5 linked regions of the Coturnix japonica genome follow. The protein of the gene in region 5 binds, or shares a complex with, the protein of the main gene of each other region. Links are inferred from orthologs where the notes say so. Each region holds a gene or a part of one and is shown on either strand. Other genes may lie near its edges.

Region 1 (5,935 bases), on a different chromosome or scaffold from region 5:
CTAATCAAAGAATACTTTAGCTCTCAGGTTACCAAAACACATTTGGGAAAAGATGCTGTAGCTCCAATGATTTTTAAAATTGGGACTGTGTTGTGTGTGTTTGCATGTTCTTTAGTATCAGCCTTGTAAGTTATGTTAACAATTTATTCAATCAATAGAGAAAAGAAGGAAAGATTTTAAAATAATGAATATCAGAGTGATGTAGTGAGCTCTTAAACTTCTTAGTTACCTACTTTCATTCTCTGAATAACCTGCACAGGCCTTGTGAAGAGGCACTTGAAAGACAAGACTGAAATACAATAGGATTAGTGAGGAGAGCAATTAAATCACTTTAATTTAGAAACAAACACAGAAGCAGCAAAGGAAAACTGGAAGGGAACTTCTTTGTGTTGGTAATAGATCATAGGTGCTGGGGAGTAAATGAAAATTAGCTTGTTCTGGATGTAAGCAGCAGGGGAGGTGCTCCTGAAGCCAGAAATGAAGAAAATCATCTGCTCAAGTGTTTTTTAAGTGGCTAAAGATGTGTGTTATGTCTGTACCTGCTTACAGGCCACTTAGTGAGAAGTATTCTCAAAGTGATTCGGAGAGAGTTCATACTTATTGTCGGTTTGTTTCTCCACTACTAACATACTTTTATAAATGTCTTATTTTCCACAGGTTTTACAGAGGTTAATAAAATCTCGAGGGAAATCTCAGGCCAAACACCTTAATGTTCAGATGGTGGCAGCTGATAAACTGGCACAGTGTCCTCCTGTGAGTTAATGTTGATTTGTGTCTTGTTTGGCCAAGAAGAGCTGATTCCTGTTTAAAGATGTCTGTCCTGTCAAGCAAGTTAGTTATGTAATTGCTAGGACTGTTCGCTCCCTTCTGGCCATATTTCACTGCTTTTCTGCACAATGCCTCCTGAGGTCTCTGGGCTCTTCACAAGGATACAGGGGAAAAACATTCCTTGTCACAAACATTTATTAGGATGTGTGCTGAATACATGCACTGCTTGAGAAAACTGTTTGTTTTATTTGATATATATTTCTGAGTTATTGATCTAAAAATAAACTCCTTATGACAGTGCAGTTTAAGGTAAGGCAAGTGACTTGAGTAGCTCTCTTCAGCGTATGTCACCAGAGTCCATCACTGCTCACATTCTTGGTCACAGTTTTGGCAAAGAGCTGTGGGGTGCCACATAGCTGAGAACTTTGTGGTTCTCCTATTGACATGCACGTATGCTGTGTGTGGCAAGCAGTGTTACCAGGTTACCAGCAAACTCAGCTGCCAGGAATGTGACCAGAACCCAGAAGACAAATGTTCAGTTCAATTACAGATGAGGAACTTTGCCATAGTTAAGAAGCTGAGCGAGGAAAATGTTTTCTCCATTGAAGTTCAAGCCACTCAGCTACAAGGCTAGTTTCTCAGCTCCTCCAGAAGTCAATGAACAATGCTAGAAACCTCTATAGGCTTTCAGAATTGCCTTCAGGAGGACATCTAACTGCCTGACCAGAGAAGAAATTCTCCCCCTGAATTTAGGTACCTGTGACTAATCTTTTGCCTAGTATTTATATTAAACTTGGAAAATTTATGTTCTTTACTGCTCTTCCTTACCACTGTTACAAATTATTTGTCTTAGTTTGTCTTAACTTTGACTGCATTGTTCTATGTATGGATGGTGGTCTCTTTCTCTTAAAGTTTCATTTTGTTCTAGTTGCTAAGAAACTTTAATATTAAACTTTTCTTTTTGAATATTTGAGTTTTAAAACTTCTTCAAGACTCTTGTTCTCACCTTCATTGACTGCTGATGCATTACTAAGTGGAATTCATGAGGGCTTGACTTAGCTAATGTAACATCAGCATTAGTTATAAGTGCTGTCCTTTGTATTACTTGCAAGAAGAAGAAGAAAAAAGGTGAAATGTCTTAATACAGTTATTATAAGCGTGGTTCATTTTTGATGAATGCAAAGTGTAGTCGTCAGTGTCACTAGCTGATCTCCCTTGAGCTGGTGGTTATCTTCACTAAAACTTTTCCTTTATCAGGAGATGTTCGATGTAATTCTTGATGAGAACCAGCTGGAAGATGCTTGTGAGCACCTCGCTGACTATCTGGAAGCCTACTGGAAGGCCACACATCCACCTAGCAGCAATCCTCCCAACCAGCTTCTCACTCGGACACTTGCAACAGCCACTCTTCCTATTAGCCCAGGTCCAAATATTAATTTACAGGTACAGTTTTTATACCATATCTTATTTTTCTTTTTTTTTTAATAGTAAATTTTCTTTTGACTTTCCCTTCCAAAGCACAGTGGTGGTCTGATACTAGAATATGCTGAATATATTTTACGGTTGGTGATAAAGCACTTTTCCATAGTTGCCCATTTCTGGTATGAAAACCAAATACAGACACGTTATTCTTACTGCTGTTCTATTTGCAGTAGCATGTGTTTGCATATTGACTGGTGGGCAGATTTTGATTCCTGAGGCTAAGCAAGCTTGATTGAGAACATATAGTGATGCAATGTAGAATAAGGTTTCATTGTGTCTGGAACACCACTATGCCAGAAACGTGAGTACCAGCCACAAGCATTTTTATAGCCAGCTCTCTGTAATCCAACCAGAGGAATAAAATTGAGCTAATATTATGTGCATTGCTGCCTCTGGTAACTCTCTGACTGAAAGGCACATTTGCACTAGCAGGCAAATCCCACCCTCAGAGTCCCGACATGAAAAACTGGGTTATGCAGAGCAGACTCACAAAGGGTAGAGGGAACCTGTGCACATCTTCCCACAGTATGTCGGGATGTGGAGGTTGGAAGTGGCTAACCACATTAGTGAGGTCTCAAGGTCAAGGTGGCCCTTCAGGTGTTTCCTTTGCTCTTTTTTTCTTGCTTCTATTGTGAAAAGTGCATGTTTCCTTCAAGCCAAACTCTTACATAAAGGCAGAGTCCCACTGCATGTTGTGCAGACAGACTTGAGAGGAAGCTTGCCTTCAACTGCCAGGGTTGCTGCCCGGCAAGCTGGGAAGATCATGTTTTGCTTCCACCTGCACGCTGACCTGCCTTTGTCTTTGGTCATATTGTATCTTCTCTTTTCTCTTTCAACTTTTACTTTACCTAATTGTGTATAAAGAGATTCTCTCCTTTGTATATATGTTGCATGGCATGAAATGAGGACTTTAAAGATGCTGCTTCATTACATCACTACACCTCAAGGTCAAAAAGATTACAGTGAGGGTAAAGGTGGATCTAATCCAGCTCCAATAATGGCTTATTACATTACGTTACATTTATTACACCAAGCGGATGTATATACACCAAAAAAAGTGTGCACAAATCAGAGTCCATAACTTTGGCTAAAAAAAAAACTTACTAAATTTAAAGAAAAAAACAACTCTTCACTGTAAGTGAAATGATGACAATTTGGCTTTTTTTTGTTTGTTTGTTTGTTTTGTTTTGTTTTGTTTTTATGATTTTGCAAAACAGTTTGGGGCTTTTGTTTTTGTTTATTTTTTGTCTTGAAGAATTTATTTCTTGTTAGAATTATTATTAGGATTTATTTCCCACAGAATTACCAGGTTCTCTCTTTAATGAGAAAAATCGCTTCAGCTACCTTGCAGGGTATTTCCCTCTCCAGCTTTCAAATGCAGTTGCAGGAAAAGAGACTTTAAGTTGTAGCTCATTTTTGCCTCTTTTTTTCTGTCCTCAGAGCTGAAACGCACTGAAAAAAATGTGAGCTGGAAGAATTTCTGAGTATGAAATTCAGTATTGTCGTGTGCAGACTTGCTAGATAAACTTGATTTGCTCTGTAAACATCTTAATTATTTTTATTTAAGCTTTTTATTTTTTAACGTCTGTTGGGTGTGGATTTATAACTCACTCATTTTATTAACCGCATTCTCTGGAGGAACTAAACGCATTTCTGACTGTTGTGTTACCTGTATCTCCTCTCAAATTAACAACTTTTTACTTTAAGTACTAAAATTCAGAGTGTATTTGCAGTTTCGCTGTTTGTTTGTAGGTCTGTTAATCCAAATGTGCAGAGCAGTGGACTTTCCTTATGGAATACAGAACTTCTATGTTCCTTTTGTTTCACTCTCCTGATACACATTCAGCTGACACCTCAAACCTGGGTCTGTCAAGGTCTTGGAACAGAGCGGGTTTTCTAATCATGACAGCTGAACCCATTATCTGGGTCATGCTGAAATCTACTATTGGAAGTGTTTTAAGTTTACGTCATGTGTTGTCTTTGTGGATGGCTCCAGAGACATCCATGCTTTCTCCAGAGAGAAAGCATTTGGCCTGGCAGGGTCACATCTGCAAAGCAAAGCATTCGACTCATCCTCATCTGGGTCCAATGTGGCACCCCTCTGCCATGAGACCTAGTTGGTTTTTGGCTTTATTAGTCCCCAGTATTTATTGCAATGACAGATTTGTGTTGCCAGCTGTTACTTCTACAGCACAGTGTTGATGGTGTGCATTGCATGGCATGAGATGCTTGAAGGTGTGAGGTCTCCTGGGGCTGTTTGAGATGAAGCTGGGGAAGTCCACACCCTTCCTGCCTGTCTGGTGGAGGGCTTGGAGATTTCTCAGATTTCCGCTCGTAAGAGATGGCTGACAAATTCCATAACGGAGGCTGAGAGCAAACATAAATGGTGTAGGTGATTAGGGAACCTTTGGGAGGAAACAGAGTGAGTCCAATTGAGTGTGCAGATGCAGACTTTCCTCTATCCTCCTTCAACTCTGCTTAGACTTCTTTTCAAGAACCCCTATTCTTTGAAATTACAACCCATTTGGGGTGAAAATCTTATGAAATTGGGCCATTAAACTTCCGCACTGCAGAACTTAATTTATATCAGAGCCCTAATTTGGCCATAAACCACAAGGCCAGACCTTAGTCCAGACTGAAACATTATCTGCTCATTGTCTGTAATATTTAGGGAAATTAACTGTCAGTGAATTTGCCCATAAATCCTAATAGCCTCTACACAAGTCTGCAGATGCAGGGTAATAATGGTACTGGCTCTAAATGTATTGACTGTGCTCCTCCACACATGCTCATCATAGCAGAAAAGATGCATCTGAGCTTATAAACCAGCATTTTGTTGGAAGCAGATTCAGATCTTGTATTTGTTCTCAAACCACAGCAACAATAGATTTTATTAGTCCAAAGAATGTAGTGGAACCTATATATTCAGCATTTGACCATATGAGAATTAAAGGGTTTTCATGTGTGTATCCAGCTTATGCGCCTTAAAACAGTCATGGTTACAAACTAATAAAAATATGTTTGTGCATCTGAAGCAGACATTGCTCTATTCTTTAGCTTTTCATTTGATACGGTGGTATAGCTCACTTCCGTACGAGTTCACCTAGAACACATCTAATAATGTTTACAATTACTGCATTCTTTTTCCAGCAAATTACAATCATCTCGATAACCATAAAAACAAGAGCAAAAAAAAAAAAATAATAAAAATTCGACCACCATTTATGGTGTTTTGTTCTCATGGAGCAACTCATCTGGTTGCTGAGAAGTTTATAATACAACATGTTGTCTTAGATACAAAGATATATCAGAATTGTTAAATTGCTGATTTGAGATTTTGGTAAATTCCTAACAAAATGCAGTTCTGTTCCTGCCCGATTTCCTGTAATTTTATTTGTTGGGTTGCTAGGAAACACACCTGCCAGGATCTGTGTCTGAAGGACAAAATTTCTTCCTTCTCCCAGCTTACAATGTGCAAAAATAGAAAGAATCATAGAATTACTCAGGTTGGAAAAGACCTCAAAGATCAAGTCCAACTGCAGCCCATCCATAGTGCCCTAACTCTAACAACCCTCTGCTAAATCGTATCTCAGAGCACCGCATCCAAACGGCTCTAAAAATCTATCTGTGAGCTGCCCTGGAGACTATCTTTATTTTCTGATGGCTCTGAATGTAAGAGTGCAAA
Region 2 (6,483 bases), on a different chromosome or scaffold from region 5:
CAGCCCAATACAACTCAATACAGCCCAATACAGCCCAATACAACTCAATACAGCCCAATACAGCCCGGCTCCGGCCCGGCCTCCCGTTCCCCACCGCCATTTCCCCCCCCCCACCACGCCGCCAGGCCCGGCCGCCATTTTCCCCCTATCCCCGCAGCCTGTAAGAGATGCAGCCGCCCCATAAGGCAGCACCGGGCTGTTCCCCAGCCCTGAGGCCGCTGATCCCCGTTCGGATCCCATCCCCATCCCATTAATCCTTGTCCCTTTATGCCGCCCCGCTCTCACCTCATGGCGGCGGCTGCGGCCGAGCCGGGCGGAAAGGACTGAGCGCCAGGCCGCGCCCACAGCCACAGCCACGGGGAGTGGAATGTACCACTGTGCTACAGCACCAAACAGCCGCATTATTCAGCCACAAAAAGCAGAGAAACGAGGCCGGAGAAACACAGAGTCACGATCACGCGTGGATACAGCGAAAGGAGCGACACGGACGGACTCGCGTTGTGGGGGGGAGGAAAAGCTTCACCACGCACCCCCCCTCTGGGCACAGTGGTACGGTCCATGCGCCGTGGGTTGGGCCTGGGGATGAGCGCATGCGCAGTGGCGCGGAGTAGGCAGCGTGAGGGCGGAGCGGCCATCTTGGCTGGGGGGGGGTGAGGGGTGGGGTCTGTATGAGGGGTGGGAGGGGGTCGGGTTTAGGGGGGGGCTGATGTGGGGTTAGGGGGTCGTGTGGGGTTTGTGGTCAGCGTGAGGCCTAAGGACGGTGTGGGGTCTGGAGTTGTGAGGCCTAGAGCTGGTGTGAGGCCTGGAGTTGTGAGGCCGGGGGTCGCAGTGAGGCCTATGGCCTACGTGAGGCCTGTGTTGGTGTGAAGCCCGTTGTGAGGAGCATTGCGGCCCCTTGTGGCCTCAGACACCACAGGGCAGCATTAAGGCTCCCCCAGCAGCTCAATATGGGTCTCTGCTTCACTGCAAGTCCAGCTTTACAGCAGCTAAAGCTCCTCCTGCAGCAGCCCCTTACAGCAGACCCTTCCCTTTGTAGCCCCTTCCCTTTGCAGCCTCTTTGCAGCCCCTTCCCCTTTACAGCCCCTTCCCTTTGCAGCCCCTTTGCAGCCCCTTCCCCTTGCAGCCCCTTTGCAGCCCCTTCCCTTACAGCTGCTCCCTGCTCAGTCTGTGCTGTTGCCATCACGCTGTGGCTCTGGCGGCCGAATGCGTTTTGGCATATGGTGTGTGTGACAGGGAGGCTGGTGGCGGCAGATTTCGGGTTGGTTTTGAGAGACAAACAGGGATAAACACAGGCTTGGGCTGTTTAAAAACCTGACTCGGCGTTTTTTCTACATCTCAACGTTCAAATCTGGTGGTTCCCAAAGCAGGAGAGCAGCTGCTGGTTGATTACCTGCCCCCTGGAGCAGCACCTGGATCGTGTCCATCTGTGAACCTGCAGCTGTGAATCAATGTCCTGTAAGGCTTTGGGGCCCTCGTGTGGGGTGGAGAAGGTGGGGAGGCTTCAACCTGTATCAATGTAGAGCCCACACCTCTATGGATCCCATACCAACAGAGCCCACACTTCTAACACCCACACCTCCCCCCTGTGGGTGCATCCTTGAACCCCACACAGCATCCCATAGGGTTGAGGGCACAGCTCCCACCCCACACTCCACCCATTGCAGCACAGTCCCCATTCCCATCCTCCTGCACTGCAGCTCCAGCAGTGACACTGCTTGTGTTCTGCTCCCACGCAGCTCTGGGGAGCACAACACTCATCCTCTGCCCCCACCACCTCCATGTTGTCCCATCCCCACCTCCAGCTGATCCATCCCCCCACCCCATTATCCAGGGCTGCACCCCCAGCTTGAGGGGCTGCAGATGGGTCCCCATTTGCATTCAGGGCTGTGCCACCCATCTGGCTGCACAGGTGCTGTCGTCGGCACCTTACGGTGATGGATGGGGTCTAAGAATGGAAAACGTGGTGTCAGCTGTGCTGGGTGCATTGTGTGGGAGTGAGGAGGGGGGGGCGGGACCCCCAGGAATAAGGAACTTTCCAACAGCTGGTGGCTGCTCGGGAGGAGTGGGAGACACAGGGGGACCCCACAAAGGGGGACTGGGCTCTATGGGGGGGGGGCATGGATTTCTCAGCATGGATCCCCCCCTCCAGGGATGGGTTGGAAGCCAGGTTTAGCCCCAGATATGGAGAAGGGGCTGTGCCCCCCCCCCCATGTTGTTTTGATTTTAGGGGAGCTCCTTGCAGCGAGCTGCTGGTCAGAGCTACCCCCTCCCACTGCGTTTATATTTATATATATATATATATATATATATATGTATGCCTTTTTTTTTTTTGAGGGGGAGATCCTTCATCTCTCCCCCTGTTTTGGGGGCAGCTTTGGGGGTGCCCTCCCCTAAAAGAGGGAGGGAAAGAAGGAAGGAAGGAGGGGAGAGGAGGAAGGGAAGCATCCCGCATCCCTCCCGGCAGCGCGGTGGGAGCGGCCGGGGCGGAGGCAGCGGCTGCCCCCCCCTCTCCTTCCTCCTCCTCCTCCTCCTCCTCCTCCCCTCTCCGCACGCCGGGGCCGCCCGCCCGTCGCCGCGGGGGTCGGTGCGGCGGAGGCCGATCTCGGGCCCCGCTCTGCCCGGAGAGCTCCATGGTGCGGGAGGGGGGCATGGCCCGCCCGCCCTACAGCTCCGCTCAGGACATCCAGATGGACGTCTTCGACAACACAGCCCTTCAGGTGATACCCGGGGGGGGTGGGGGTCAGAGAATGCCCTGGGGGGGGGGGTGGGGGGAGGATGGATGGAACCCCCCCCCCCCATCCCCTCCCCACGTCCTACCAATGGAGGTTCCGCCTCCTGTAGCTCGGTTCCCCCCACCCCCGTAGACACGCTGCTCCCCCAAATCAAAGCAGACAGCAGGAAGATTATTTCCTTTTTTTTGAGGGGGGGTAGCTCGCCCCTTTACTGCATCACCTCCCCATGGCTGTGCCCCCCCCCACAGCACCACGCCAAGTCTGGAGGAGGGGGGGGTTCACAGGGAAACTTTTGGGGATGGGGCAAACTGTGCAGAGTCAGTGTTTAATGGGTGCGACCCCCCCCCAAATCTCCATCCCCTGGGTGTGGGGTGGGGGGATGTACCCTCTGGGCTGGGGGTATCTCGTGTGTGTGTGTGTGTGTGTGTCCCCTGCAGGCTGGGGAGGGTCAGGCAGTGTTGGCTGTGTGGGTGGGGGCACAGCCAGGCCCTGGGGTTGGGGTTTGATGGGGGGCTCCGTGGTGCTGACCCCACCCCGGGGCCTTCACCTCCTCCAGCACAGAGGGATGGAGCCGGAGGGGGGGGGGGAGGGACCTAAAAATACCGGAGACCACCGGTGGCAGCTGGGCCCAGCTGTCCTTTAAGGGGGGGTGGGGGGGGGCATAGCCCAGCCACTCACACCCAGCACCCCCCGGTGTGCTCCTGTGTTCAACCCCCCCCACACTGTATCCCACAGCCCTTATGGGGGCACTGTCAGCCCCCATGGGGGACACCGTGGGTGCAGTGGGGGGGGCACATTCTTACTGAGGGAGCTTACACGTGTGTGTGCGTGGGGCTGGGGCATGTGACAGCGAGGGGGTGGCATAGGGATGATGTGGGGGGGGGGGGGTGCTGCTGCTATGGGCCCAACCCCCCCCTCCTAGAGCATCCTGCCCCCCCACCACAGTATGTGGGGGTCTGGGGGTGCAGAGCCAGTGCTCAGTTCTGAAGTGATGCTGTTGGGGATGCTGGAGGGGGGATGATGCTCACAGTGCCCCCCCTTTCCCCCCCCAACCTGTCACCCCTCCTCTCCACAGGGCAAGTACAGCAAACGTAAGAGCCGCTTCAAGCGCTCGGATGGCAGCACCTCGTCTGACACCACCTCCAACAGCTTCGTCCGGCAGGTGAGCATGGGGGGGGTGTTGATGGGGGGGGCACAGACCCCCTATTTGGCTCTTCCGCCCCCCAGGGCATGTATCCTCTGAGGCTTAATGGGGAAGGTCTCTTTGGTAGCCCTTGACCCCCAGGGAACCATGTGAGGGGGTCCTGGTTTGCAGCTGAGTACTTGGGGTGGGGGGTGCTGGGGGCATCCACCCCCCATATCAGGAGCCTTTGGGGTCCTGGGGCATCTCCTGCCCTTTTTGATGCTGGTGTGGGGGGTCATGCAGCCCACCTGGCATCACTCCCGCCCTCCCCAGCCCCATCCACCCACCGCTGGCTTGGCACTGTCCCCCCCACCCCCCCGCCCCAGGCTAAATATACCCCGGCAGGCTGCGGGTGTCTGAAACCCGACCCGCGGGTGCCCCAGCACGCAACGCCCGCCCCCCCCCAGCCCACTTGCCCCCAGCCCTGCCACCATGGAGATGACCGGCAAAGACCACCTCGCCGCCCCGGTGAGCATCCCCCCCACCCCACACTGCTGCCACCCCTTCCTGCCCCTCCTCCCTATCCCAGGGTTTGGGTTCCCCCTTGACTTAAAGGGGTTTGGGGGTGAGCAACTCCCAGCAGCCCCTCCAGCTTGGCACCACAGTGTGCCTGCTGCTGCCCCACAGCCCCCACTCCTCTGCCCCCCTGGACCCCAAGCTGTGACGTACTGGTGAGAAATGGCTCAGAAAGGGGCTGACTGATCTCTGCCCGTGTGGGTTTTTTGGGTGGGGGCTACTGCCCCATGGACGGTGCTGGTGTCTGCAGGGTGTTTGGGAAGGGGCTGCCCTACTCTATGGGAAGGGTGGGGGCTGCCTCAGCGTGGGGATTAAAGAGGACCTGGGTGGGGAACAGCACCCCACAGGGCTGGTGCCTCTGCTGTCCCCATGGGGGTCACAGCCCTGAGGTCCCCCCCCCCCCCGTATCTCTGACTGCAGCACAGGGTGAAATGAGGGGCTGTGGGGGTCGAGCAGAGGCCCCAGCTGCAGCCTTGTCCTGGGGTGACCCCCAGCCCCCCGTACTGTGCAGCCCCATTGCTGCAGGACCCCTGGGTGGCTGGAACAGAGCTGGCATTGGGCACTTCCCCCAGCTTGGTGCAGAGCGGGGGGACAGCTGGGGTGCTGCCAGCTCTGGGTGGGGGTCCTCATCTCCCCCCCACAGTTTAACAAGAGGCCTGGAGCCCACTGACAGCAGGACGGGAGCGGGGTGTCACGTTCCGTGCCGGAGCAATGGGAACAGCTGCGCTGGTGCTCGGCCTGCTGTAACCCCGGCACGGCCCCCCCTGGCTCAGGGGAAACTGAGGCACAGGCTGGGGGCACCCAGCAATGCATGGGGTCCTTTGGGTGCTCACCCACAGGGCTGTCCTTGCATAGGGCTGGGGCTGATCTGTGGGGCTGGGGCTGAGGCTTCTCCACACTATCACAGGGCTCAGCTGAGTCCTACACCAGCCGCCCCTCGGACTCAGATGTGTCCCTGGAGGAGGATCGTGAGGCGCTGCGCAAGGAGGCTGAGCGCCAGGCACTGGCACAGCTGGAGAAAGCCAAGGTGGGACCTGGGGGAGTTGGGACCCTCGTCACTGGGAGCCTTCTGTGGGGCACTGGCTCTCGCTGTGGGGTTTGAGGGGATGCCGCCTACACTCAGCTCCTTCTCACCTGCAGACGAAGCCGGTAGCGTTTGCTGTCCGGACGAATGTTGGCTACAACCCATCAGCCAATGATGATGTGCCCGTGCAGGGCATGGCCATCTGCTTCGAGCCCAAAGACTTCTTGCACATCAAGGAGGTGAGGGTCCGGAGTGGTTGGGGGGGGAGCAGAGTAGGAGGAGGGTGTGGATGGCAGGGGCTTGGGGATGGGGGCTGGCAGAGCATGGGGCTGAGGGTTGCAGGGTGTGTGGCTGCTGTTTGCTGTCCATTTACAGGCGTTGATGTGATTTCTGTCTCCATCCCCTGGTGCAGAAATACAATAATGACTGGTGGATAGGGAGGCTGGTGAAGGAGGGCTGCGAGGTCGGCTTCATCCCCAGCCCTGTCAAACTGGAGAACATGCGGCTGCTGCAGGAGCAGAAGATGAGGCAGAACCGACTGAGCTCCAGGTTCTTCCCACCCCCTCCACCCCCCTGGAACCCTCACACAGCCCTCGTGCTTACCTCTCTCTGCTTCTCCCCTCCCAGCAAATCAGGTGACAACTCCAGCTCTAGCCTTGGTGACGTGGTGACAGGGACACGCAGGCCCACTCCTCCAGCCAGTGGTAAGGATGTCTGGGCTCCCCACGGGGAGTGGGGCTGGATGGGGGGGTCTTGTCACCCCTCCCACTGCCCCTCCTGCCGCTGGGTCCCCTCTGCTACCTCCCCAGCACCAGGAGGGACGTGCAGCCCCCTTAATCCCTGTGTGGGACCAAAGCTCAGCCCCACATTGCACACTAATGCACACATCCAAGCAAGAGTGCATGGGGTGCCCCCCCCCAGCCCTGTGTCCCCACGCTCCTCACACCCCCTTACTCCCATCCACTCCCCCTTTTCACCACCATTATTGCTGTTCTTCTCTCCCCTCCGGCCCCGGCGCGTCCCCAGGT
Region 3 (6,571 bases), on a different chromosome or scaffold from region 5:
TGCCCCCGGGCGGCCGCTGTCAGCACTGCGGGGCCGCCGCCGCCTGCGGGAGTCACCCCCCCACTCCGCAATGGTTCCGCCCTCACTCCCCCTCCCCTCACATAATGGCCCCGCCTGCTCCCCCCGCCTCTACCACGAATGGTCTCGCCCACCCCACCGCGTGGCGTCGCCCGACGTGATGACGCATGACGCACGACGCACGGGGCGGTGTCGGCGCGGCGCTGTCATGGCGGCCGGGGGTTGGAGCGGGTCCTGTTGGGGGGAGGTGTCTGTGCTGAGCCCGAGGGCTGAAGTTACCTCCTAAGATGGGGCTGTGAGGGCGGGCGGGGTCTGCGCTGCCTCACCTCACTGTAAGAAGGGCGTAAAGTTATGGGGGGGCGTCCGAAGGAGGGCTGTGGAGAAAGGGAAAGGAATGGAGGCAGGAGCGTGAGGGGCGGCCGGGGGCCGTGGGTTGGTTGTTTGGCAGAGCGGCAGCGTCCATCTCTGTGCTCTCCTGGAGCTGGGGGGGGCTCGGGGGCAGTTGGCTCAGCCCCGAACTGCCGTAGGGTCCGGGTGGTGCCGGGGGTCCCTGTGGGTCCGTTCCAGCTCGGGCCGTTCTTTGGTTCGTTAGGGCGGAGGTCCCGTGCTGCTGCTGTCCGTTATTGCGGCCCACCCGCTGCTGTTTGGCCGCTGGGTGGGCCCTGAGTCCTTGCTGCTCTGCAAGAGGTGGTAGCAGAAGTGAAGCTCTGTCTTCCACAAAGGGATAGTGGAAGGACAAGGACGAAATGAGATGAGGGACCATCCCGGTGCTCCCGAAGCAGAGCTGGCTCTACGGTGGGTTAAGTGAGTGCTGCAAAGTGAAGGCGAGGAAGCTTTGGGCAGTGCTATGCAGCGGGTGGATCAGCTCGCTGTGGTGCAGGGTGTTGGCTGGGGCACAGCTCTATTAGACCATCACATCTCAGTAGGATGGGAGTATGGTTAGTGTGACTGTTGACTGCTCCAGCAAAACCAGAAGAGCAGCACGTCCTTGTGCCTTGATTTCCCCACATCTCTGCACTGCTGCAATTCCTGTGTCTTTCATTCACAGCAAACCAGAGCAGGTTTTGGACTCAGTGTGGAGCCTGAGGTTGGGGTCTAATCCCTGCCTGCATCAGCTCAGTGTGCTCAGCCTCAGAGACCCCAGAGCTGCAGGACGACGAGGGCTGAACTGAGCAGTGAACACCAAACAAAGCTGAAATCCTACAGAAGGTGGAGTGTAACGGTGTGGGCCATGGGTGTGTACAGACTGCAACAGCTGGTTGTGAGATTCTGTAATACAGAAGGGCATGGAGGCATTATTTCCCTTTTGTTACGGGTTGCCACAAACCACCACTGATAAATACAATTTAATAAATATGATAAATACAATTTAATAAATATAATAAATACAATTTTTAAAAGCAGATGTATCTGGATAACAACCTGTTATAGATATTACCAAGAAGTGTGTGTGTACATATATGTAGTAAATCTGGAGGAAATAGCACTGAGAACATAAGAAATTAGAAGTAGTAGGAAGGAAATGAGATGCACTGAAAGTCAGTAATACATCACCAAATGCAGGTGGCTACTGTACAGCTTCTCAATGCTGTAACTGCTGGACTTATGACTGAGTATACTTAGCATTACTACACTTAGGACAGTTGCATATAATAATGAAATTATTGTGTACCAAACCAATCTTAGAAGGCTGTGAGTGGATCAAACCAACCTCACGAGAGCCTAATTAGGTAAACCTGTTTCAGAAGAGGCCAACCCTCAAAAGTGGACCAGACAGTGATGGACTAAATCTCACGTTGGAGTTGATTTGCATCACAAAGTTTGGAGTCAGCCAAGGCTCCCCGGGGAAAATTATATTTAATTAGGAAATGTAGGGAAGGAAACTTCATGTGATGCAGAAAATTCTGAGGGAGAACCTCCACTTTGGCTAGGAAATGAGACGTTTTTGTATTGCAGAGACTGAAGATACTGCCTCTTAGAGCAGCCAGTAGTTACTGCTGATTTCTCTCACCTGAGCTGATTGATAGATTACAATGTTTCCTATTCCCAGACCAAGATTCATTTTCCTGAGGCTTGTTTTCTCCTTCCAGGTGATGTTTGCTGTTAAAGTTCTTCAGTTTTGCTTTTATTGATGGTATCATCAGGATGTCTCTGACTGTCAGGTTCCCAGCTGCCAAATGAGGCCAAGCCGTGCCTTCCAGGGATGCTCCCATGCTGGCAAGAATCATGCTCTGTCAGTGTTCTAGCAGGTGTTTGCTGTCAGCATTTTCCCCCTTAGGGCCAGCTCACCTTTGTGGCTACACCCATTGAGGGGCCTCAAGAATATTTCTTTGGGAAAGTGCCCCGCATCCCTGTTGTCCTTTTCACCACAGAAATGTGATTTATCAGACAGGACTGCATGTGTTCTCCTGGCTTTCCTTACAGCCTGGAGCACGGGGGAAAGAGGTGACAAGGGACAAAAAGCACTTTTCCTTTGGAGAAGATGAGCGTGGTGCCAGGCAGCCCTCCCCACCCCCAGCCCTCTCAGCGGCATGCTAAGCACTTGCCCGCCTCGCAATGCGCCGGGTAAGGAAGCGACAGCTGCTGGGGTCCTTTTGCTGCCTCAGGAGCTGCGACAGCACCCAGGAGCCAGGGATCTAAATTTAAGTCTGTGCTTTGTGTGCTGTGCGTACCAACGCAGCCTCCAGCCCCCAGAGCCCGGCTCCTCAAGCAGGGGGATCTGGAGGAGCTCTGGCTGGCTGGGGCTGGGGGTTTGGCCGAGGGGTGAGAGAGAGAGAAACAGCGTGAGGAGAACCACCATGGAGCCTGTGTCTCAGCAGGATGATGTGAAGAAGAGGCAACAGAAGGAGAAGTCCAAGAAGCCAGTGCCACCAGTAGCCCCTCGGCCACCCAGGGCTCTGTTCTGCTTAACCCTACAGAACCCACTGCGGAAGGCATGCATCAGCATCGTGGAGTGGAAGTATCCTTTGGGAAGGGGTGCTGGGGAGCAGGACCCTCAGTCTGCAGGAGGAGAGCTCACAGCACACTGCTGTGGTGGCCATGCTTGGGCTTTGTGCTTGGCTGTCCCACTGAGCCGATGAGGGAGCAGGAAGAGCAATTGGGGACACCTGGAGGATGTGTTAGAGGCAATGGTTGTGTCAGCTGGGCTCGGATGAGCTTATATGGGAAGATGGGGCTGTGAAGCCATGGGGGATCTTTGGTGGGGTGTTGTAGAAACAACCTGGGTGGCAAGGGACTGTGGGGTGTGAATGTGTTTTGTGTCTGTAAGGAGCTGTGCTGGGATGGGAGAGGTGTGATGGGGATGGGACCAGGCAGAGCAGGAGAGCCATGGCTGGGAACTGCAGTGAGAGGGGCTCGGGGTTGGGCAGTGAGACCACGGTGAGCTGCTTGGGATATCTCTTTGTGTGCATCACCTCTTGTCTTGTCCTGCATCTACTCCCTGCCATGCTGGGGGGGCTGGCAGTGTCTCCCAACTCCTTGCCAATGCTATCGTCCCCTTTTCCTGTCCCTCCCTGGTACTGTATCACAGGTGAAGGCTTTTTGGAGTGTCATTTTTCAAAAGGATGTGATCTTCCAGTGCCCCTGAGTTAATTCAGGGATGGGCTTCTGGGGTTTGCTTGTTGACTGGCCATCTCTTTACTGGGATGTTTTGGTATGGAAGAGAAGCACAGCTTCTATTCAGCCCTTCTGCCACCCTAGGCTGAGAGTAATGATACTGCCTGCTCTCCAGCTGCCTGGAAAGGATCCTGTCCCATGTCAGCTCCTCAGCTTTGTGGCTCTGACAGCAAACACTGCAGAGCAGAGATGAGCCCCAGGAGAAGGAATGCATGCAGCGATACCAAACCCATGCACTAGGTATCCCCACAGAATACAGTCGCAGCTAATCCCCACTTGGCAGCTTGCCTGGTCTGACGTCCCTAACTGTCCCATGAGGGCTTGTACATCCTGACCCTGAAATGAGGGCAGTCAGGTGCATGGGGGTATAAAAACAGCCGGGCACAAGAGCAATGTCACTGAAATCCATTGCCCAGGATTCTGTGTCCTACCCAGGTCGGAAGCACCTCCCTGGTGGGACACCACCTCTCCCTCCATGCTGCTCTCCTGATGCACTGATGTGGGAGAGGCTCTCTATGCTCTGCCTGCTCTGGCATGTGCTGACCCAGGATGAGGAATGTGTTTGAGCATGCTGGAAGACGTAGGGCCTATTTCCAACTCTTCCCCTGCAGCTCGTCTGTATGCACAAGTGTTTTCCATACCCATTGCCCATTTGAGACAAACACCGCCCTGAGAAGGATGTGCTGGTGAGGCATCTCTGAAGCAGTAAAGGAGAATTCCCCAATCTGGACTCTGCTCCCTCAGTGGTCAGAAAGTTCCTTTCCAGCATGGGAACAAGAGATCCAAGTCCACTTCCAGCACTGCGCTGGTTAATGTGGCTGTGATTCCTGCTCTGCTTACCCAGCTCTCACCAAACAGTCACATATCTCCCACATCCTTGCACCTGCACAAAGGCTGTGATGAATGGCAGCAGGGTGGGCTGCTCCTTTCACCCCTTCAAGCAGGTAGCTGTGTGTTGCTCACCCTATGGTGCTGAATCAGACAGTGGCATGGCTGCTTCAGACCCATTCTGCATAATTAACTGGGAATGGGGATAATTAGTTGATTAACTGTAGTGCAGGGAAATGCTAGTATGACTTCAGGGCTGCTGTGCTGGGATGCTGGATTTCAAGGTCTGAGCTGCAGGTGCTCACAGGAGGCTCTGCCCAAGGTGGGATGAGAACTAGGAAGCACTCAGCAGTGAACTGGGGCCAAAACGTTCATTGTGTTTTGTGCCACGCTGTACCCAGACCTGTCAGCAAAAGGCCACCAGGTGCACAGAGAAGACTCCTTTGCTTTTAGGCACGTGCACAGCTGCACGGTGTGGTGTCTGGAGCACAAACCTGTGTGGCCTGGATGCAATCAGCAATGGACAGCAAAAGAGCATGGCTGGCTACTGTTCTTCCAGGGTGGCACGGGACAGTGGGCTTGAGCTGTGCTGGGAGGAGGAGAGGCTGTGGTCCATGGGGTGGGAACCTTGTCATGGCCAATGTCCTGTGGGAGTGTGAGCCCTTTTGGGACTGCTGGAATGTGACAGCTGTAGCCTGACCTTGAGGTTTCAATGGCCCAGCAGAGCAGTGACAGCAGCAGGAGTGACCAAGTGGCTGTCCCTGGGCCTTGGAGGTAAACAACAAACCATCCTTTTTGTTCAGAGGTGCCCCAGGGCCCAGATGACTCAATTCTTTCTGGGGATGGAGGGAGACTCTGGCACTCAGCAGAACAGCCATGAGTGCACTGCCTGCATGGGCTGTGGGACGTTGAGGTGTGAGCTGTGTGTCTGCTGGTTGAGCTGCCAGCCTGGGGTGACACAGTGTACATTAGGTCTGCAGTTCTGCAGCCTCTTCCTTCTGGCGGCTGGGCACCACAACAGGAGCCAGGGCCACCAGGCTCTGGAGTGCAATGCTCTTGTGATCTCTGTGTTATGGGAGAGGATCTTGAGCCTTCAGGGTGGCTCCTGAATGATGTGAAGGGGGAATTCCCAGGTTTCCAGTCCCCTTCCTGGTCCTCCTCAGCTGCAGCCTCTCACTTTGTGCTTTGTCCCCTTACATCCTGTGTGGGTGCTGCCCCTCTCCAGGTCCTGTTTCTCACCCTGTCTCAATTCCTTCCTCTCTCCAGGGACCCCAGGAATGGGCAGAAGGAGGCTGTTTCCCTATGCTTCCCCCACATACACCCTGACAGGCTATATGCAGGGACTGCTTTCCCATCTCTCTCTCTGCTCCTTAACACTGTTTCAGACCTTTTGAGATCATCATCCTCCTGACCATCTTTGCCAACTGCGTCGCCCTTGCCATCTACCTGCCCATGCCTGAGGATGACACCAACGTGGCCAACTCCAGCCTGGTGAGATTCAGCCCTCCTGCCACCCTCCCCTCTGCAAAGCTGCCGTCAGCCTTCACTGCTCCATGGAGCTCATCCTCAGTGTGTCTGGGTGCCAAGTGTTGGCATCTGTAGGGCTGCTGCCCTGTGGGGTGGCCTCATGTGTCAGTGCAGTGAGAGAGGCCACAAATCAGAGAGACACCACTGCAGAATGGGTCTGGAGAGGTGCTGGAAATGGGTGTAGGATGAGACCAAAAGCAGCAGAGTGGTGTGAGAAGTACAAGGGAAGGAAGGATAGATCTCCTCCTTTTTTTTTTTTTTTTTTTTTTTTTTTTTCCTTCTTTTAATCTCAGTCTTTCCAAAAAGAAACTTCCTGTTTCAGGAAGGCTGAAATGTTTTGTTTTAGCATCTTTGGGACCGAATTGCCTGGCCATTCATTTCTAAACTGAATTTTAATTCTGGGACATTTTTTTTTTAAAGAGGAAAAAATAAACCACCCAAAACCTCTGTGAAGGAGAGATCAAACCTTCCCAATCCATTATTCCATTGTTTCCAGTCCCTCCATCTTGCCTGGAATAAGATGTTTTGGTGTGATCCAAATCAATAGCTTTCATTAGGTTTAGTTCGCCGCGTCCCCCTCTTA
Region 4 (5,935 bases), on a different chromosome or scaffold from region 5:
GATTCAGTTGTTCCTCAGTGCTTGAAGGAGGATTCTCATGAAATACTGATGCGTAATGATATCTGAATGTATATATAGCTGAAAAAGTAATCCCTAAGAGATTATTTTAACCTCCTTGGTACCTTACATTTTGGATAAACACCTTGTATGTGTTTCTGCTAAGCTGAAAATTCAGTTCTGTTGTTCTGCCTGACAGATCTAGGGCTCTCCTTAAAGTCCCCACAGTTTAAGGGAATGCTGATGCTATCACAGCCTGCAGGCCGTAACTTACATGATTAATTTTTAACGGCTTTCTTCCTTGATAATATTTGTCGATAGGACTCTGGCACATAATTCTTGAGAAGATCGTGGTAAACTTTGCATGTGACCAATAATTGATTCTTTTGTCTGCAACTGAAATCAGCAGCACAGCACACTGACAGCAGTTCACTGGAATTTCAGTGGCAGATGGATTGAGCTTGACTTAACTTCAGATATCTGAAAGTTAGCTGTCCAGTTTAAACCAGTCAGTTCAGTCCCACTGTGGTCAACAGGGAGAAACAGCATTTCCAAAGGGCAAGTATAATAAGCCTTGTCTAAGTCTCATCCTTCAAAGAGTGTTTTCAAGCAGGCATCCAAGAGGCAGGAGCCTTCTGGTGTGCCTCTACCCAATTAGCTTGGACTAAAACCATTGCTTTGAGACAGCTAAAGTTGCAGAGACAAACTCCAACCTGATCAAGACCCACATTTTGTATTTTCTGTGTGTTTATTCCTTTGTTTGTATTAGACAGCAGTGAGCTGCATGAGATGAGCTGCTGATTCTGATGGCATTGCTTATGGAACAAGCAGCATCCACCATGAATAAGGCATCAGATCAGCCCTGTGCAGCAAGAGGCTTCTTGAGAAATTTGTTATCAAAGGAGACTGAATGACTCAGGGGCTGTGAATGTAATTGTGGGAAAGACTGGAAGGCTCAAAGTACAATCATCAGATATTGATCCTCCCACCCACAGCAGGTGCCTTAAAATCCAGTGGTGCTTTTATAATTGTTGCCATCTGCAGACACGCCTAAAATTCACATCTGGTATCCGTTCAGGTTCTACAGTGGATGCTTAGAAAAAGCAGGGCAATTGGCAGTAAAAGTTAACAGTATGGGTGGTGACAGTGTGGGAAAACAAAGCTCTGTCACAACTGGTGGAGAAGAGGTGGTGTTTCTGGCCGGGCTGTGGGGCACAGGGCTCGTCCCTTCTGTTAGCATGGTGTGTCCCAGGGTGGAAGAAGTCCAGCCTTGAGAGCTCTAAGTCTGGTGCTTGGCACTGATGCAAGCTACACCACTTCAAGGAAAACTTTCAAAATTAGTTTAGAGAAACATCCCAACCATTCCAGGAGCTGGCAGCTATTTCTCCAGCCTCCTAAGAGTCATTACAGTTGGAAAAGACCACTAAGATCATCTGTTTTAAGCCTCAAGACACTCTGGGCCTTTTGCAGGTAGATCCTCCAGCACTCTGCTGTCCCAGCCCAGCAGACTGAGTGAGTCCTCACTCTATGTGTCTCCCTCTCTCTGCAGGCACTGGCAGTGGCCGGCCTGAGCCCCCTCCTCCAGCGAAGCCATTCCCCTACCACGTTCTCCCGGCTGTGTGCCACACCGCCTGCTACACCCTGCAGCCGAGGCTGGCCACAGCAGCCCATCCCAACGCTGCGCCTTGAGGGGGCTGAGTCCAGCGAGAAGCTCAATAGCAGCTTCCCATCCGTGCACTGCAGTTCCCGGTTCCCCGACAGCTCAGACTGTGGCAGCCCAAGGAGAGCCAGGCCAGTGTCCCTCACCGTCCCCAGCCAGACAGCGGGGAGCAGCAGGCAGTTCCACGGCAGCGCCAGCAGCCTGGTCGAAGCGGTAAGGCCACGGTGGCATGGGGACGTGGGTGGTACAGAGGCCAGTGTAGGAACATGACCCTTGGGAGGGCAGGATGCACTGCAAAGCCAAACCCATCTCTGAGCAAGGGTCAGCAGCATGAGTGGGAGGAGAGGGGCCAACATGGCCAACAGGGAGATGCTGTATGGGTGCAGTAGGGCTGGAACTCATAGTGCTAATGTCTGCTTTTGTCTCTGGTTCTGCCGCCTCCTGAAGGTATTGATTTCGGAAGGACTGGTGCAGTTTGCTCAAGATCCAAAGTTCATTGAGGTCACGACCCAGGAACTCGCTGACGCCTGCGACATGACGATAGAAGAGATGGAAAACGCAGCAGACAACATTCTCAATGGTAACAGCAAGCAGAGCCCCAATGGCAACCTGTTGCCTTTTGTTCACTGCAGGGACGCAGGGCAGGACAGTGCAGGCGAGGAAGAGGAAGAGGTGCAGAACCCGGATTGTAGAAAAAGTCAGGAGGAGCTGAAGGACAGCAGGATTTATATCAGCAGCCTGTAGTTGCCAGGGCTGGAAGCGATGCTGGTTTTTTATTTGTTTCAATGTTCCTAATGGGTTTGTTTCAGAAGTGCCTCACTGTTCTCGTGACCTGGAGTAACCGGAACAGCGTTCTTCATTCATTTCTGTTGGGATGAGTCGCAGAGTTGGGTGGTGGCAGAGAACTTGTCAGGAGCGGATAGGACCCCGGCACGCGTCCGCCTGGAATGAGCGCGGTGCCCAGGAGGAGAGTCAGCTCCCTCTTTTTCCAGTCCCTGCACAAGGCACGATGACTGCCTCCCAAGGGCGGCCCAGCCAAACGCGCCCGGCCTCCAGCGGGCATCCTTCAACTTTGCTTGTAAAAATCATTTTGCACATGTTCTGTCCGAGCCTCACCGCCCCCAGTCACCCTGGCCCCGCTGCCTGGGCCCGGAGGACACAGCACCGCCAAAAGGGGAGCATGGGGACTGCAGCGGCTCCTGCTGTTGGCCAATCAGAGCTCGAGGGTCGCTCGCCAGCCAACCTGAGCGTGGGCAAGTCACCTGCCAACCAATTGGAGTTCAGACAGACAGCCGCGCCAGCCAATGGGAGAGCAGGGAGTGGCTGGGCACGGGTTTCTTCTTGTCCCGCAGTTCGGTGTTTCCTTGAGAGCATGTTGCGGTTTTTATTTTGACTATTTTATTTTTATTATATTTTTTCAGAGGGAGAAGGGAGTGTTTACAAGGTTCTGTAACCACCTACCTTTTTGTTTGGGTTTATTTTCACCTTTGCAGATGTTACGTTGGTTTGACCATGTTGTTTTATTTAAGCCAGGTTCTTTTCTCCATTGGCATTTGGTAGAAGCATAACACTGTAGGCAAGTTTTACCGACCACTATGTACACCAAGACTCTGTCATTTGATTTGCTACCGAGCGGAACTTCCTTTTTTTGTTGTTGTGTTATCATAGAACGGCAGCGGGCAACACGCTTGGCACAGCCCCACAGGTCCCAGGGACCAATGGGGCCATTGGGATGCAGCGCCAAATCAGCGCCCGCTGTCGGGTGGGGAACCAGTAACTCTTTGCATCTTCTGTTCCACAAGATATGCAAAAACAATGCAATAATATTAATTTTAAAATACAATCATAAGTCGTGTTGGCATTAAAACTGTATAGAAAAAAAAAAAAGAAATTATTGGGGTTGGGGGAACAACCAAGCAGAAGGCGTTACGCTTCAATATATTCCGTGTGATGTTTTATTGCATTGATGATGTTTCTGTTGAAGAAACCGTTATACTTGAATTCAGGTCAGTTTCGGTATTTTTCAAATATTTTTTTAAAAGGAATTGCAATTGTGCCAAGCAAATATTATCAAATCGAATTCAGTTTGTTTTAAAAGAAAAAGAAAAAAAAAAAAAAAAAAAGAGTCACTTCTTGTATATTTTGCTGCATGTCAAGTGAATCATTTCGTATTTGGAATGTGCCAAGCTTTACCTTTGAACTTTTAAGTGCTTTTCTACGTGTGGTCGGGGACAGGGGTACTATATTTTGTTTTATTTTTTTCCTTTTTTAATTTGTACAATGAACAAAGTGTACCTGGTGTAAGTAACTATTCTGCAATTCACTGACAGGTCGAACGTTACTGATTTTGCATATCTTGTGTTCATTACCCTTCCTCCTCACCCCTTTAAATATGCACGATGACTTTGTTGGTAGAGAGTACCTTTCTTCCTGAGGCCGGGACATTTTGTTCAGGCTTTGTTCTCTTTCCTTTTGCTCAGCCTCTCCAAAGCTCTCTTCCCACGAGAGAGTGGCGAGATACCCAAGCCCATGTGGAAGATTCATCCCATGTCTTCAGCTGGCACCAGCAATTCAGGGAGGGGAAAAGCACCTGCTTGCAGATTGAGGTTAGGTAGTTCATCCTGATAGTTGTAACAGGATGGTGGGATAAGCAAATGCAAATGGCAGAATCGTTTGCAAAATAAATGTGCCTAACTCTGGACTGAAAGCATTGGGTAAGTGAGGGACAGACTCTGGATTGTTGCTTAGGAAAATTGCTGTGGTCTGGTCATGACACAGATGTTCAGTGACTTTTGTCTGTTTCCATGCATGTTCCCAGACCTTAGCACATGGGTCACAAAACACCTGATGCCACAGCATATCCCAGCCATATATCCCTGCTGCTGAGCATGAACCTCTCCTGATTCACTCCACGATGGCACACAGCGGCTGAGAAACCAGGGAGATATTATTAGATTTTATGCGGCTGATTTCTGTCTAGACTGCTGCTGATTTTCTCCCTTTTCAAGATGTTTCACAAACTTGCAGATGAGTACTCAGAGGTGTGATCTGACTCAGAGCTAAACTTTCATTCCAGTCGTGAGCTTCACAGATGTTTGATTACATCGTTTATTATGTATTTTCGTAATGCCCTTGGGTTTAATTCTTGACTCTGCTGGGGCCATTAAGCAGAAATAGTGGAAGATATTTTTGAAAGTGCACTTTTTTCTTGTTACTTTGAACTGGCCAGTAGCAGCTCAAGATGCCTTGCCAACAAATCCTTTTAAGCTGGGGAAATGTGAACCCACTTAAGCAACCATCTGGCATCACAGTCCCAGTCCAAGTCCCTGGAGAAAGCAACCACCTGAAGTCTGTCAGCCTCATTTTTTCCATCCCTCTTGTCTGTACCATGATTGGCATGTGAGCAATTCTCCCTTTGTGAGTTTGCTGTTGCTAGCTCTGCAGTGCTCCAAATCTGCTTGAAAGGAAATAGTGCTGTGCTGGTTGTTTTCTGAAAACGGAAGCAGCAAAGAGGCTCCCTATCTAATTTTCCTCCACTAGAATGTTCCCCTGGCCCTCCCACTAAGAGGCAGAGGTGCTCCTTGCTCCTGATTAACAAAGTACTGGCCTAGAGGAGCAGAGGTAAGGGGCATTCTGGATATCTGCCAGTACTTGTCATCTTTTAGGACTTTTCCTGAAGCGAAGGAGAAGAAAGGAAAGGAGTGTGCCCTGCACATTGCTGGTGAAGCTGTGGCTCCCCCGTGGGTCAAAGCTGACGATAGCCAGGGAAATCCTTGCAGTCTGCTGGAAGATGGCTTAGGTCCTGCAGAGTGAGAAGTGCATGGCTAGCAGAGCATGCAGATGCCTTGTGTTGTCTGAGGAGCAGGTGATCAGTACAGCCATTGCTGGTGCCAGCTGCATAGTTTTCTCTTTCTGGGGAGGGTGGCTTTTTTTTGTTATTTCCATTTGAGGTACACGCAGCATGCACATTGTGACAGGTCTAAGCAAAGAGCTACTGCCTCCTTCAGGTGAGGTGCAGTCTGGGGGTGATGGAAGTGGGACAGGCATAGTACCCAGGGGTCCTTCCTCTCCCGGTGCACAGGAGTAGATGGTGGGTACAGTCACTGTGCTGTGGATGGAAGCCATGGAGGAACCAATGGCCAAGGAGTGGCGTGGAAGGAAGGAAAGAAAGAAAGGGGAAGACGATCTGCTGTTCCACTGAGCATCTCTGACTTGCAGGAGTACACTGCAGACTAAAGACATTTCTTACAAAACAACAAACCTCATCCCTTTACCACT
Region 5 (6,460 bases):
GTGGGAGGATGGGGCAGTGATTTCACATCCCAAAAGCCAAGGTCTGTGTCAGACTGCAGCGTGCTGCTTTGTTCAGCCAAAGCAAAAAACAACCTGTGACATTTGCCAATTCCAATTAAAAAAAAAAATAAAATCCCCCCAAAATCCCTTTTCCTGTAGGAAACTTTGATTCCAACAAAACTGATTTGTGATCCTTGAGCATGAATGGTATCGATGTATCAGAAGGCACTGGATTGCTGTTGGACTTTGAAACCACTCAATGATAGTTTAAAATAAACCTGTTTCTCTGCATCTCTCTGTTCATCCCTGGACAGCATCTAAAACAGATCAGCCCCAGTTTCTCAGTAAGGCCCGCAGGTATCATCATCCCATCATTAACAACAGCCGGTCCTTTGGAAATAGCCTATAGCACACCACAACAGCAGAAATGCTATTGGAGCAGATTCCATTTTCTGAGAAACAAATTTCGAGTATCTCATCAGCTCTCTCTTTTTGGTTTCTCATACAGAATAGGAGAAATCACTTCATGTGCCCGTACCAATAACAGTAAACTCTTTTTATATTTCCTTTCTGTATGGATCACAACTCCACAAGGGCTAATATATCACATCCCTTGAGGTTGCATTTCTGTCTGCAGTTCTAACGTGTTATTGCCACTGTGCTTCAGTTCTGCTGGTGTAATCACAACCGTGTATAATGTACTTAATCCTTCCTTTTTAAATAAACCATTTTAAATGTATATCTGGGCTTGCGTGGAGAAAGATCTATAGATTCTCAGCTTCCAGATTCTCTGAGATGAGATTTCTGCATTGTTTTGTTCTTTTTTATGTTTCTACCTATTTTGATGGCAGCTAGTTTGTTTTACTGGAAGGGTAGGAACACTCTTGTGTTCACACAGAGCAAGAAATACCCAGGATAAGCCATCTCTACAACATTTCCAGACATTCAGGTAGGAACCTCAGAAAAAAAAAACACCTCCTAGTTTCTAGATTCTATGATTCTTGTTACCAGATTGAACATGGCCCAGATGAGGCGCACTCTTTAGCTGTTGGCTTGGTGTCTTCCTCAAATACTTCTTTCAACTTTCCCTTCCCATTTCCTATGCCTCCAGGTGGTCTCTCAATAGGAGGCTGCACATGTGCCTGCAAACCTGCAGCCCCCAGTGCTCACAGATAAGTGGGGTATCACAAACAGGGAGGATGTGGAGAGGGGAGCAAAGGCAGAGCCCTTACAGCTCTGGGACAGCCCTTACTGCCCAAAGGGACGGAGCCTGCAGGGAACAGTGCACCATGGGGCTGCTGGGCTGGCAGATGGGCAGCAGGCTTCTTTGTCTATTAAAGAACACATGACAACAAAAACTTGCTTTGTTCTCACCGTCTGCGAGGATTTCAGCCTCAGTCCTTGTCACTCGGTGAGGGTCTCCTGCAAGAAGGGAGCTGCAGGTCCTGGTTAGTGTGCTTGTGGTGAGCACTGAGGTCAGTCAGCACAAAATGCAGAGAGGTGCAGATGCTGGGGAGCAGAGCCACGCCAACACCTCTGCTGGGACAAAAAAGGCAGCACTTGGTCACGAGACACCATTTACCATTGTCTTGAGTAAAGAAACACGACCGTGCCATTTTCACTTTTTTCACTCACTGCTGCTAAGTGCCTCTAATTACAGCCCTGCCTGCTTCCCAACAGGTCCTCATTAATACTCTGTTTATATTTCAAGTGATATTGATTTTTGGAGGCAAATGCTGCCCAGCTGACACAGGGACACAGCGAGAGCCAATCCTCTCTGCTCCTTCTGCCCCTTTGGGTATCAGCTTCACTGGTTGTTTGTCCATAGTTTGGGGGGAACAGGTCCTGTGGGAGCACAGCCCAACCAAGGAGTTTCCTCTCTCAATAACCAGTGGCACCAAATCATGTTATTTGCCAGGGAAGGATGAAATTTTCCTTTTTCGTTCACCTTCATTATTTCCTGAACGTTTTTAACAAAATTCACCCCCACGCCCCCCCCAAAAAAGGAAGGAAAAAGAAAGGCAAATTCTGAGGGACAATCCAGATTACAGAGTACCTGAATGAGAGCAGACAGCAGGATCCTTGCCAGCATTGGAAGAGGCGCAAAAACCTACAGCAACAAAAGAAGCAATGATGGTCCTCACCACCCTCACCACCCTCTGAGTGGAACATATCCTTTCAATATGGAATCACAGAATGGTTTGGGATGGAAGGGACCTTCAGGTATCATTTAGTCCCAGCCATTCTCCAGTGGAATTACAATGATATAACTTCACCGTATTTCAGAAGTTAAACTTTGGACATAAACCTTTCTCTTCTTCTGGAGGGAAGCACAGCACCATCCTTCAGACACCTCTAAATACCTTCACGAGTCAATATGAGTAAAAACAAGCAATACAACAGATAAAAATTGGCTCCTTTGGCATGTCCTTTACAGCCTGCCCTTCTGCCAGCACCCAGCTCCAAAGCTCCCCGTGCAGACACAGCCACGAGCTGCCGGCGTGTGCAGGCACTTTGCAGGCTCTGGCTCTGTTATTAAGCTATTTAGGATCAGACTGAACGCAGCTCCGCCGCTATTATAAACACAGATGGCTTAGAACCTAACTGAAAAGTTAATCATCTCTTTAATGCCTATTTCTGGTCATGCTGCAAGTCAGCAGAACGGAGTCTTTCAGTGGCGGTAGCGGCTCTGAAGGAGCACCCGCTTGGCCGTGGGAATCCAAAACAAACGCGGGATGGGACGGGGCGGAAAGCTGAGCTTTCCTCTCTCTGTGCATTAATAGCCTCCTGACACAGCCCAGCAGCTGGGGCTGACATTTTGCAGAGGCTCAGACGCGCCAGGACGAAGGGAGCCCGCGTGGGGAGGCTGCGGGTGAGCAGGACTCAGGGCAAGGCGGCCCAGGAGCTGCATCCCAGCACGGGATGGACGAGACCAAACCACTGAAGGTGCGTCTCACCTTCTGCGTGCTGCTGGTGGGCGTCTCGCTGCTCTTCGCGGCCGTGGTGACGGACCACTGGGCTGTGCTGAGCCCCAGGGTGGAGGACTTCAATGCCACCTGCGAGGCGGCTCACTTCGGGCTCTGGAGGCTCTGCACGAAGAGGATTCAGATGCAGGAGCAAGGTGCCAAAGAGAGGGGCTGCGGGCCCATCAGTCTGCCTGGAGGTACGTATGGCTGGTTGTCCCTGTGTGGCACTTTGCTTGGGAGGCTGCAGGATGCTGTGGGAACCGAATGTGGCCCAATGGGCTGCACAGTGCTGTGTGTTTGCAGCTGCATTTGAGTCATCGTCTCCAGTGCAATGGCAGCAGGGGGTAAAAGGGGAAGAGGGTCAGGCACGGTGGGAACTGGGACAGAGTGAGCTTTGCTGATGTCCCACAGCACCCAGGTGCACTGACAGCAGTGGGCAGAGCTTTAGCAGAAGGAGTGTTTAAAGAACTGGGCCCGACTGCATGGCTGTGCCTTTTGGATCCCCTGAGCCTGCTCATGGCCAGCACTAGCTTATCCCCAAGCAGTTTCAAGAACAATCATTTCTCAGGGCAGGGAGCTGCCGTTTATATTGCGAGCTTCCAACAAGGAGTTGTAAACTCCAACAAGGAGTTCAAAACCAACTTGCTCCACCCTTCACTCTTCTCTCCCCATTTTCCCCTGCTGCAGTCAATGGGGAGCGGGCTCAGCTCCGCGCGTGGTGCCAAGTCAGCAACATTTGCACCGCGTGCACTGACGTTCCCATTTGTGACTGTGCTGCAGGAGGCCCGTAGGGAACTGGACACCTTCCAGGTCAGAAAAAAACAGGACTGCCTTCATGTCAGCTACGCTGCTAGAAATGAAATACATACATTAGCATATACTTGAAAACTTCATGTGAACAATCTTAGTGCCTGTGTTTGCTGTATGCTGCCCGTATTTGCACAGTTCTTTACCTATTTGGCTCAGTCACAGTGCTCAGATCTGCCTCGAACCAAATTTGGGAGTGTGTCACTCGCTGCTTCTCACAGAGGTGGTTGTGTGCCCAGGAGCACGCTGCTCACACCCTGCCCTTCCTCACATGGGGAGCATAGCACCCATGGAAGGAAAACCATAGAAATTGTTCAATAAACAACAAAACGGCTCAACTGCAGGGTAAATATAAAGCCCATAAATATCCAGCTGTCTGCAGACAGCAGTTTTGTGGCCAGGGCAGCATGAAAGCAGCTCCTGCCTTTGACAGACACCAGCATGTGCTCACAGAGCACTGAACCCCAGCCCAGAGCTGCCTTTCTCTGCAAAGAACCTCATGGAGCTGAGTCCCACACTGGACAGCCTGCAGCTTTTTCACTGTTTATAAAAATATTTGGCACTTTGGATGATATCTTGTGCCATGAGCAGCATCGGGGGCTTCAGAGCTCCTCGCATTCTTATCTCTGTCATAAAAACAACACCCAAATCCCCTTTTTGTTCACCATGGGGAGATGGGGAGAGCACAGCCCCCCTGGGCTGGGGCTGCTTAATGCTCAGTGTGCTCATTGGATCGATCTCAGTCCATTGAGGGGACAGAGAAGCTGTGCAGCCTGCAGCTGTCAAGGAAACCTGAATGGAGCAACAGGGAGAGGAGATGCAGACATTGGTTTTCCTGGAAATCATGAGATGTGGTCAGAGATCACTGCCAGCCCTGGAAAAGAAACAGCAGAACTTATCACTGCTTTAATGAGCATTTACCAGCCACTCCCTGAGGAAGAAATGGATGCCACAATTAGCACTATTTATTGGGTTCTGAGCAGAGGATGCGTTGGCTTGCAGTCCACAGAGCAGAACTGTGATTTAGGCAGAACTTTAAAATTTTACAGCACTCTTGTGAGGATGCTGACAAATTGGAGAGGATTCAGTGTGCTACTATGAGAAAGATGAAGTCCGGGGAAAGGGCTATAAAAGCTGGGAAATTTCAGGTGAATACTGAGATGTTTTCACCTGTGGTCTGAAGCCTGCTGGGGCAATGCACTGCTGGGGGAGCACAGCTCACCTCCACCTCTAGGAGAGCTCAGAAGTGTGCTCCTAGCTCAGGGCAGCAGCAGAGATGGGAGCTGGTGAGTGTGGGAACATGGGTGCCAGCATCTGGAATAGAGAGGAAATGTAGCAGAGCAAATAGGTTACCAGAAGATCTGCTTTGTTCCCCTCTGGTCCATATCCCCCCAGTAATGATGGATCTGAAGGGAAGGGGCCAGGAGTGTTGCAGGTGACCTGCAGCAGGGAGGACAGATAAACCACACACTATGTCCCTGAAGTTCACAGTGGCTCTAAATGACTGCAGAGCTCATGGGCTGCTCCATCAGCATACGACCTGTGGCAGAGAGAATGCAGTTAAGGGGTGGAGAGAAACAAAGATCGCCACAAAATTTTCTTCCACTATAAAACTCAATTTAAATCCCATCCATTATGTAAATGTGCTGTGACACAAATGGGCTTTTCTCTAATTCATGATGGCACCAGGGAGGGACTGAAGTGCCTCAGTTCTCTTGAGTAACAGGGAATCTTGTTGATAAAGACATTCCCAGCTCAGCAGTGCACCAATGTGTCTTTAAACTGAGAACAATACATCACAGCAGACAGTTCCCTATCTTTGAGAGGTTTCTGTGCTCTCCCCTTCACTGAGCCTTTGTGGAGTGAAGGGTTGGATCCCTGCATAGACACTGCTTGGCTTCACCTCACACTTTGAACAACCAACCAACCCAAGATGGAGCACACCATTTGTATCCCATCTCCCTCCCATTTAGCACGGGAGCTGAAGAATTCCCCAGCCCGGGTCACCAGACCCTCACTGACATCAGGCACCAACATGCAGCCTCTGCTCTGGGCCTCAAAATAGGCAATTTTAGACAGTGAGGTCTGAGTTCAGCTATGTTTTCTCCAGGGATCATATAGAACAGGTCAGGAGATGTCAGAGCTGAACATGAACTGGGTCTTCAGCGAGAAGAAGCTGCAGATGGAATAAAATTCAGCTTTTAAAACAAGTAGATAACAGCATCTCTGAGGAATCTTCCACTAATGGGCCCAAAAACGCTGCCTTGGAATTGCTCATCCCCTGGGAGAGGGAAAGTAAACCTTCCTTGAAACAGTAACTCTGCAATCTGCCATTTACATGACAGCAAAAAAACAAAAGAACCCAAGATGTAACACAGAGTGCTCTGCTACCTCCTCACCACGAGCAAAGAGAGCTGTGTGAATAAACAACAAATGCAGTTTGCTCTGGGAGCTCCTGGAAGCCAGTGCTGGCTCCATGACTGAACAGACCAGAGGTGTTGGTGGTAGGAGCCAGTGATCCTAAAGGGACAAACTGGGGTGCTGAAGAGCCCTCCAGCCCAGCACAGCAGAGAGCTGTAGGTGCACATTTCCAGCCAAATTCCCTACAAACAGCTGCTCCCCACCTCTCCAAGCTTCCAATTAAACAGGTTATAAATAGCAGGCACCCTTCGTCCCAGCCGTGCTGC

The links.
Region 1: CACNG1 (region 5) and CACNB2 share a complex: the UniProt entries of both Homo sapiens proteins name them as parts of the calcium channel complex. The link is inferred for Coturnix japonica from reciprocal best matches to the Homo sapiens genes CACNG1 and CACNB2.
Region 2: CACNG1 (region 5) and CACNB1 share a complex: the UniProt entries of both Homo sapiens proteins name them as parts of the calcium channel complex. The link is inferred for Coturnix japonica from reciprocal best matches to the Homo sapiens genes CACNG1 and CACNB1.
Region 3: CACNG1 (region 5) and CACNA1S share a complex: the UniProt entries of both Homo sapiens proteins name them as parts of the calcium channel complex. The link is inferred for Coturnix japonica from reciprocal best matches to the Homo sapiens genes CACNG1 and CACNA1S.
Region 4: CACNG1 (region 5) and CACNA1C share a complex: the UniProt entries of both Homo sapiens proteins name them as parts of the calcium channel complex. The link is inferred for Coturnix japonica from reciprocal best matches to the Homo sapiens genes CACNG1 and CACNA1C.

The regions. Positions count from the first base shown.
Region 1 is NC_029517.1:17,384,170-17,390,104, reverse strand, and holds part of CACNB2 (voltage-dependent L-type calcium channel subunit beta-2), read left to right. Parts: intron 1-657; coding exon 658-753; intron 754-2,025; coding exon 2,026-2,211; intron 2,212-5,935. UniProt on the Homo sapiens protein: Beta subunit of voltage-dependent calcium channels which contributes to the function of the calcium channel by increasing peak calcium current. Plays a role in shifting voltage dependencies of activation and inactivation of the channel.
Region 2 is NC_029542.1:3,807,738-3,814,220, reverse strand, and holds the start of CACNB1 (voltage-dependent L-type calcium channel subunit beta-1), read left to right. Parts: upstream 1-2,371; 5' UTR 2,372-2,630; coding exon 2,631-2,717; intron 2,718-3,807; coding exon 3,808-3,894; intron 3,895-5,338; coding exon 5,339-5,458; intron 5,459-5,571; coding exon 5,572-5,694; intron 5,695-5,867; coding exon 5,868-6,004; intron 6,005-6,082; coding exon 6,083-6,159; intron 6,160-6,483. Other genes in the region: RPL19 (60S ribosomal protein L19), read right to left, coding at 286-290. UniProt on the Homo sapiens protein: Regulatory subunit of L-type calcium channels. Regulates the activity of L-type calcium channels that contain CACNA1A as pore-forming subunit.
Region 3 is NC_029541.1:630,971-637,541, forward strand, and holds the start of CACNA1S (voltage-dependent L-type calcium channel subunit alpha-1S), read left to right. Parts: upstream 1-2,651; 5' UTR 2,652-2,816; coding exon 2,817-2,977; intron 2,978-5,846; coding exon 5,847-5,952; intron 5,953-6,571. UniProt on the Homo sapiens protein: Pore-forming, alpha-1S subunit of the voltage-gated calcium channel that gives rise to L-type calcium currents in skeletal muscle.
Region 4 is NC_029516.1:51,091,273-51,097,207, reverse strand, and holds part of CACNA1C (voltage-dependent L-type calcium channel subunit alpha-1C), read left to right. Parts: intron 1-1,546; coding exon 1,547-1,870; intron 1,871-2,104; coding exon 2,105-2,401; 3' UTR 2,402-5,935. UniProt on the Homo sapiens protein: Pore-forming, alpha-1C subunit of the voltage-gated calcium channel that gives rise to L-type calcium currents. Mediates influx of calcium ions into the cytoplasm, and thereby triggers calcium release from the sarcoplasm.
Region 5 is NC_029533.1:6,955,379-6,961,838, forward strand, and holds the start of CACNG1 (voltage-dependent calcium channel gamma-1 subunit), read left to right. Parts: upstream 1-2,794; 5' UTR 2,795-2,922; coding exon 2,923-3,163; intron 3,164-6,460. UniProt on the Homo sapiens protein: Regulatory subunit of the voltage-gated calcium channel that gives rise to L-type calcium currents in skeletal muscle. Regulates channel inactivation kinetics.